2 linked regions of the Macaca mulatta genome follow. The protein of the gene in region 2 interacts with the protein of the main gene of each other region in a pairwise test. Links are inferred from orthologs where the notes say so. Each region holds a gene or a part of one and is shown on either strand. Other genes may lie near its edges.

Region 1 (4,500 bases), on a different chromosome or scaffold from region 2:
CTTGCACCTGTAATACCAGCACTTTGGGAAGCTGAGTCAAGCAGATCACCTGAGGTCAGGAGTTCGAGACCAGCCTAGCCAACATGGTGAAACCCCCGTCTCTACTAAAAATACAAAAAATTAGCTGGGAGTGGTGGCGGGCGCCTGTAATCCCAGCTACTCGAGAGGTTAAGACAGCAGAATCGCTTGAACCCGAGAGACCGAGATTACGCCACTGCACCCCAGCCTGTACAACAGAGTGAAATTCCGTCTTAAAAATAAATAAATAAATAAATTTTGAAATGGAAGCAGTATAAATTTAGAAATACTGATTATATCTTGAAATAGTAATGTTTTAGACAAATGGAGTTAAAACATTACTCAAATTAATTTCACTTGGCTTTTTTTTTTTTAACTTTTAAAAAATGAGGCTACTAGAAAATTCCAAATCACATATGTGGCCTGCTTTATGTTTCTATTGTACAATGCTGAGCCAGACTGTGAAGATTTTAGTTCTAGGACATGGAAGTCTCCCCTCTTTTAATGCAGGGTGGTATAGTCGGAAGAGAACTGCGCTTGGAGCCAAAGACCCCTGGGTCCTGCCCTTCACTAGATGGATGCCTTGGTACACCCACTAGGCAGCCGGTAAACTCCTTGAACGACCTAAGTTTCTTCACTTATGAGATGGAACCAATAACACGCTGTTAGGACTCTAGGAGGCCTGGAGTTGATCGTCCAGTAGTTCTCTGTCCGTTGCTCACAGTGCGACTTTTAAGTAATCCCTGGGCCTCGGCTTCCCTTGCTTGTAGAAGCCGCCATAAGGGCATGGAGAGGGGGCAGACTGCCAGGGGTGGGTCATGGTGCGTCTGTCCGTCCATCTTACCTGAAAGCATCGGCGGAATTTGACGCACCCGGGGCCGGTCCCGCCACGGGTCCCTCAGTGGATCCCGCAAAGTTCTGGGTGGGCCCCCGACACTCGGTGCCCCAAACTCACAGCAAGGGGTGCCCTTTGCCTTGTGCTGAGGGAGGAGGAGGGGAGTTGGGGAGAGGCCCATTTTGCTACTCTGACTCCAGGCGTTCTCCAGGCAACGCCGGCGCGGTCACCACTTTCGCGTTTCCCATAACAATGGAAACGTCGTGAGCCGCCGCGTTGTCCGCTAGACGCCGTTTCCATGGTGACAGCCCCGCCGGGGGCCCAGACCAATGTGTCTGTGGGGAGGGTGAGTGCAGGTCGTGGTCCTAGCCTGTAATGGGAGGCACGAAAAGGACCCCGGAAGACACTGCCTTTGTATAATCCGTTTACTATCCCGAGGTGATTCACGGAGTTTCTGGGGATTCGCGCAGGCTGGCGCTGGGAACCCCCGCGCCGGTGCCCCCTTTCCTCGGTGGTAGAGGCCGGGCGGGGTGGCGCATGCGCGTGGCGGGCTGGCGGCAGGAGGCGGGTGGGTCAAGGTATATCTGTACTACAGAGTCCCTGATCGGGGGTTTCGGGGAGCGCTTGGACCCTGGCTTCTGGGACGCGTCAGGTACGTCTCCGAGTCCGGCGTCGCCGGCCAGCACGGCCTGGGTTCACGTGGGGGCCCGAGCTGGGTGGGACGCCCGGGCCTCGCCTGGAGAGAGGCGTCGGGAGGGCGCGGGGAAGGGGGCGGAGGCCTGGCGACCCCGGGCGGTGGCCGCCCTCCTCTGTGTGTCTCCGCAGTTGTGAATTGGGGCGGTAATTCCTCCCCGTAGGTCGCCGTGAAGGTGATTGCATGAGATCGTGCGTGTGAACGTTTGTTGACAGCTGTTACTTGAGTCCGACAGCCCTGGGGGCCGTGCACCTGCGTAACATGGCTAGCTCTGAACTCCTTGGGGGACACGTATACTTTTGAGAATCCGATGAAAGCCAAAGGTTCCTCCCTTGTTTTCTTAGAATTAAAGTAAGATAATATATTTCATGGCCTGTTGCAAACAGAAAACCTTTACACAATGATTAGTGATCAGTATCTGTGGATTAGGGAGGCCCCACTTACTTGATCCTCTTCCCAGGGTCGTTGTGAGGATCAAGTGCACAGCTTCTTATAAACACTAAAACACTATAACATCTTGTGAGCCAGGTACTATTATTATTCCTCATTGCAAAGAAAGAAGCCGAAGCCCAAGGAGGATAAATGCTGGGGTCGCACTGTGGGTGAGCAGCAGAGTGATCATTGGAAGCCAGGTGCTCCCCCTTCACTTCCTTTGTGCCGAGCACGCTCGCCCCCCGGAGTTTCACTAGAAAGAAGGTCGCCATCGGCCAAGGGAACAGCTTGTACCTCAAGTGCACGCGGATGCCCCAGAATCCCAGGATCTCAGCCGAGCTGTTTGTGGATTATTAGATCTGACTTAAAAGGTAGCTAATCCAGACCCTTCCTCATCTGTAATATATAGATGACAGTTCCCAGCTGTAGTGTTATGAGAATTAGTGCGGTCATGAGTGAAGTACCCCAGTTAAAGCCCGAGAAGTAAAGCAGCTGGACCAAGGTCTAGCAAGCAACTGAGGGGCAGAGTCAGGCCCGAAACCTGGTTGTGTCCAGCCCATGTGCTCAGGCCCAGTGCAATTAGCGTCAGTGGGGACTTGGCTTATTTCTCCTTCTTCAAATGTCTCTAGGTGCTATGAGTGCTGGGGGCTGCTTTTTTTTTTTTTTTTTGAGATGGAGTCTCGCTTTGTCGCCCAGGCTGGAGTGCAGTGGCGCAATCTCGGTTCACTGCAAGCTCCGCCTCCCGGGTTCACGCTATTCTCCTGCCTCAGCCTCCCGAGTAGCTGGGACTACAGGCACCCGCCACCGCACCCGGCTAATTTTTTGTATTTTTAGTAGAGACGGGGTTTCACCGTGTTAGCCAGGATGGTCTCAATCTCCTGACCTCGTGATCCGCCGGTCTCGGCCTCCCAAAGTGTTGGGATTACAGGCGTGAGCCACCGCGCCCGGTGGCGGGGGGCTGCTTTTTAACTGTGTTTTGTTTATTTTGTTCATAATACATGAATATATTCTCATTGTAATAATTCATTAAATCTCGAGTATATTTAATATAATTTTATATTGTACCATATGAAATTGTCACAATTTGACCTTTTTTTGATCTATAAAATGACAATTTCATTCAAGCCAGTCATCCTATTCCCTTTTTCAGGTTTAACCACTATGAGCAATTTGGTGTATCCTTCTAGATCTTTCTTTCTTTTCTTTTTTTTTTTCCTTTGAGATGGGGTCTTGCTCTGTCACCCAGGCTAGAGAGCAGTGGCGCGATCTTGGTTTACTGCAACCTCCACCTTCTTGGTTCAAGCGATTCTCCTGCCTCAGCCTTTCAAGTAGTTGGGATTACAGGTGTGAGCCACCGCGCCCAGCTTAGGCCTACAATTTTATTATAATAATGTGCCACAAATTATTTGGCTACACCCAAATTGTTTGGATTGTTTCTTATTTTTTACTGTTATCAACAATAGAGAACACGGGGTGTGAGCATGTCCAAGTCTTTCTAGAGTGTAATATTTTAGAAGTAGATTTGCTGTCCAAAAAGTGTACACATTTACAATTTTGCCAAGTTTTATTTGAGTGACCTTGAAAGAATTATAGCATCTTCTGATTCTACCAGTAATAACAGTGTCTTTTTCTTCACATCCTCATCAACCATGGGTATTATTCATCTTTTTAATTTTTGCCAATATGATGAATGAAAATGCATCTTTATAACGAATTTTTTTTTTTTTTTTTTTTTTGAGACAGAGTCTCGCTCTGTCACCCAGGCTGGAGTACAGTGGCCAGATCTCAGCTCACTACAAGCTCTGCCTCCCAGGTTTTACGCCACTCTCCTGCCTCAGCCTCCCAAATAGCTGGGACTACAGGCGCCCGCCACCTCGCCCGGCTAGTTTTTTGTATTTTTAGTAGAGACGGGGTTTCACCGTGTTAGCTAGGCTGGTCTCGATCTCCTGACCTCGTGATCCGCCCGTCTCGGCCTCCCAAAGTGCTGGGATTACAGGCTTGAGCCACCGTGCCTGGCCCGAATTTTTTTTTTGAGATGGAGTCTCACTCTGTCACCCAAGCTGGAGTGCAGTGTCATAATCTCAGCTCACTGCAACCTCTGGCTCCTGGGTGCAAGCAATCCTCCCACCTCTGCCTCCTGAGTAGCCCCTCCCGTGTGCCTCCACAGGCGCACACCACCACGCCCAGCTAATTTTTTGTATCTTTGGTAGAGACAGGGTTTTGTTTGCCATGTTGCCCAGGATGGTCTTGAACTCCTGGACTCAAGTGATCTGCCTGCCTCTGCCTCCCAAAGTGCTAGGATTTATAGGCATGAGCCACCATACCCAGCCTGGGGTAGGCAAACATTTTAAAAATAGAATACGAACACTAATCATTAAGAAATAATAGTAAATTGGGCTGGGCGCAGTGGCTCACGCCTGTAATCCCAGCACTTTGGGAAGCCGAGATGGGTGGATCACGAGGTCAGGAATTCAAGACCAGCCTGGGCCGGGCGCGGTGGCTCAAGCCTGTAATCCCAGCA
Region 2 (3,054 bases):
GTATAATTCCTTACCAAAAGAGAAGCATCAGAGACACTGAAAGGCTCCAATTGTTTTATATTTTCAGAAATAAAAGTGATTGTATACCCTTTTATTAACTGCATGGTAGCTTGGCAAAATTTTTATAGAATTTTTAATGATTTATGGTGTTCTGTGATGAGGCAACATTCCACTAAATTAGCCTTCCAAAAGTTGCAGTATCATGTATAAGTATGACAGTTTTGTTTTAAAACCAGAGTCAGATTGAATGTGGCTTTTTTTTACAGCTGAAATGTATGCCTTATGTGTATTCATAACACATTGATATCTTAGTGTCACATTATCTTTATTCTTTGATTATACTCTTGAAAAGTAAATTTACTTATCAAATGATAAAGTTTTAAGGGAAAGTAAAAAAAAAATATTTTTTCTTAAGGCTTCATGGAATAGAATTACATGTAATCAGAATGACTACATAGGACCCTTTTCTGGTAATGAAAGCATGGAGTCTTAACCAAAAAGCTAAGCAGAATTGTTAGATCTTTTGGTTTCTGTCATAATGTACTATTGGAACTTCAAGTAGATATAGTACATTAATATGAAATACTTTGAAATACACCATCTTTGGAAAAAAAAGGTACTTACACAAAAATCACCTAACACTAGTTAGGATGTTGAAATGACTGGTATGTAATATTTTTTAAAGCCTTCATTTTTGGTCAGCATAAGTTTCCTTTAATTATTTTTCTGTTTCCAGTTGGACTTCACTTTGAGGCTTAACATATCAAAGTGAGTATAAAGTTCTATAGTTTAGTCATTGTGGATTCCATGTCATTTATGATGAAAATGGAAATGTGTAGTTTACTTAAGAAAATTTTCTTCTTCTGTAACATCTAACTCTTCATCCTCATCATCATCTGCTTGTTGATCCTTTCTTAGTCGACAAGTGGATACCTGTTAAAAGTCAACACACTTTTTAAAATAAAAATACTAACTTAAAAAAATTTTACATGCTTGGTATCTTTTTATGCTATTAAAGGGCACACAACAAATATTTCAAAAAAAAGTCCATGTCATAATTTTTAGTAGTGACAATTCCCTATGAATTTTAAGGTCAGAGGCCAGTTTTTTCATTCATGATATTTTTTGAATAAAAATGTGTAATTAGCCATTTGATTTTAGTTGGATAGCCATCAATACTTCAGAAACACTACTTTAAAAGTATAGACTTAGTATATTATGAATGTTAAAAATAAATTTTGGGTCACAAAAACAGCATTTGAGAATCATAAAATGGATGGCAAAAATAGAAGGATATTTCAGCTAGGCAGTGGGACAGAAATACTGATGTAAAAGTAGTGTGATTTAAATGGAATGAGTTGAGAATCTGAACTCACCAGTTTTAAGTTGCCTGACTGCTGCCACATAGGGCATGTTGCTTAAAACTTCTCTGAGAGTGATTGTATCTAACCCAGAGGACATTTGGGAATGTCTAGAGACACTGTTGTTTGTCACTATTGGGGCTGTGTGTTTATGTGTGCTGCTGGCATGTTGTGGGTAGAGGCTGGGATGCTAATATCTGCCTAATATTGTCACAATATACAGGACAGTATTCCATCCCCTTCTTCCTTCCTGGTGGGCCCAATTATTTGTCCCAAAGTCAGCAGTGTTGAGGTTGAGAAACCTGGGATAATGCATTCTAAAGTGCTATACAAGTGTTAGCTAAGGTAACATTATTAGTTGTAGTCAAAACCTTTTTTTTTTTTTTTGAGACGGAGTCTCGCTCTGTTGCTTAGGCTGGAGTGCAGTGGCCCAATCTCGGCTCACTGCAACCTCCGCCTCCCAGGTTCACGCCCTTCTCTCGCCTCAGCCTCCCGAGTAGCTGGGACTACAGGTGCCTGTCATCATGCCCAGCTAATTTTTTTTTTTTTGCATTTTTAATAGAGATGGGGTTTCACTGTGTTAGCCAGGATTGTCTCGATCTCCTGACCTCGTGATCCAGCCACCTCGGCCTCCCAAAGTGCTGGGATTGCAGGCGTGAGCCACTGTGCCCGGCAAAACTTTATATGGACTATAAAAGTAAATTTATAGAATTTATGTTCAAAGCACTTAATGCTGGAATAATAAAAATATAATTGGGTTGGGGGAGAGATACATATAAAACAAAATAAATGCTTAGAGGAGAATCAAATGAAAATAGAAGGTATGAAATTTACCTAAAAGTTGTATTTTGAAAATAGTTTGTTGAGTTGCATATTCTGAAAGCTAGATATGAAAAGGGCATAGCTCTCTAGATGAGGGTTTGGCAAGTTGTGGCCCAGCCAGCCTCCTGCTTTTGTAAATAGAATTTTATTAGAACACAGTCATACTGCTTTATGTGTTACTTATAGTTGTTATTTATAGTTGTTGGGGTAGAAACCATATGGCCCACAAAGCCTAAGATACTTAGTCTCCACATCTTACAGAAAAAGTTTGTCAGCCCCTGCTCTAGATACTGGGAAACTCAGGCTTTCTGGATGTAGACAAAAATGATTTTTGTGTTCAGTAAAAGCCATTTTTTGGTATAATTTGGTATTTAACTTTATAATTTAATCAGATCCACTAAGTCTTGATAGTGAGATTTAAACCTAAGTTTGACTTCAGAATCTATGCTCTTCATATTATAGAAGATAACACATCTGCATGAGCATTCTTCTGTCTTTTCCACTTCTGCTCTGAAGTGTTATGTTTTAGAGAGTAATATGTAATTACAGTATAAAAGATACTTAAGAAATAACAGAGCTGCAACTTAGTGCAATCTTCTGTCATTATAGAAGAGGAAATAGGTCCAGGGGAAGGTAAATTACCTGAGGTGGTATGACTGAGGGGAAACATTTTTAGAACTCAACAATTCCAAAGGCAGCAGCTCAAATTCCTTTAAGAGTATGGTTTCTTGCTCACCTGTCCTGTTCCAGATACACACTTAGCTGACAGTGATCTCTGAAGAGGTGACTTTGAATTTGCTCGTACAATATCTAAACGAGATGAATAATCTGGTGCATACAGAGAATTTCGGAAAACCTATTATAATGATAA

What was found.
Region 1: the proteins of CIBAR1 (region 2) and CBY1 interact in binary tests that used the Homo sapiens proteins (3 or more experiments, as listed by UniProt). The two-hybrid records come from large-scale screens. The link is inferred for Macaca mulatta from reciprocal best matches to the Homo sapiens genes CIBAR1 and CBY1.

What each region holds. Positions count from the first base shown.
Region 1 is NC_133415.1:12,868,381-12,872,880, reverse strand, and holds the start of CBY1 (protein chibby homolog 1), read left to right. Parts: upstream 1-1,388; 5' UTR 1,389-1,390; coding exon 1,391-1,505; intron 1,506-1,710; exon of another isoform or gene 1,711-2,350; intron 2,351-4,500. UniProt on the Homo sapiens protein: Inhibits the Wnt/Wingless pathway by binding to CTNNB1/beta-catenin and inhibiting beta-catenin-mediated transcriptional activation through competition with TCF/LEF transcription factors.
Region 2 is NC_133413.1:104,121,425-104,124,478, reverse strand, and holds the end of CIBAR1 (CBY1-interacting BAR domain-containing protein 1), read right to left. Parts: intron 3,040-3,054; coding exon 2,920-3,039; intron 984-2,919; exon of another isoform or gene 934-983; coding exon 841-933; 3' UTR 702-840; downstream 1-701. UniProt on the Homo sapiens protein: Plays a critical role in regulating mitochondrial ultrastructure and function by maintaining the integrity of mitochondrial morphology, particularly the organization of cristae.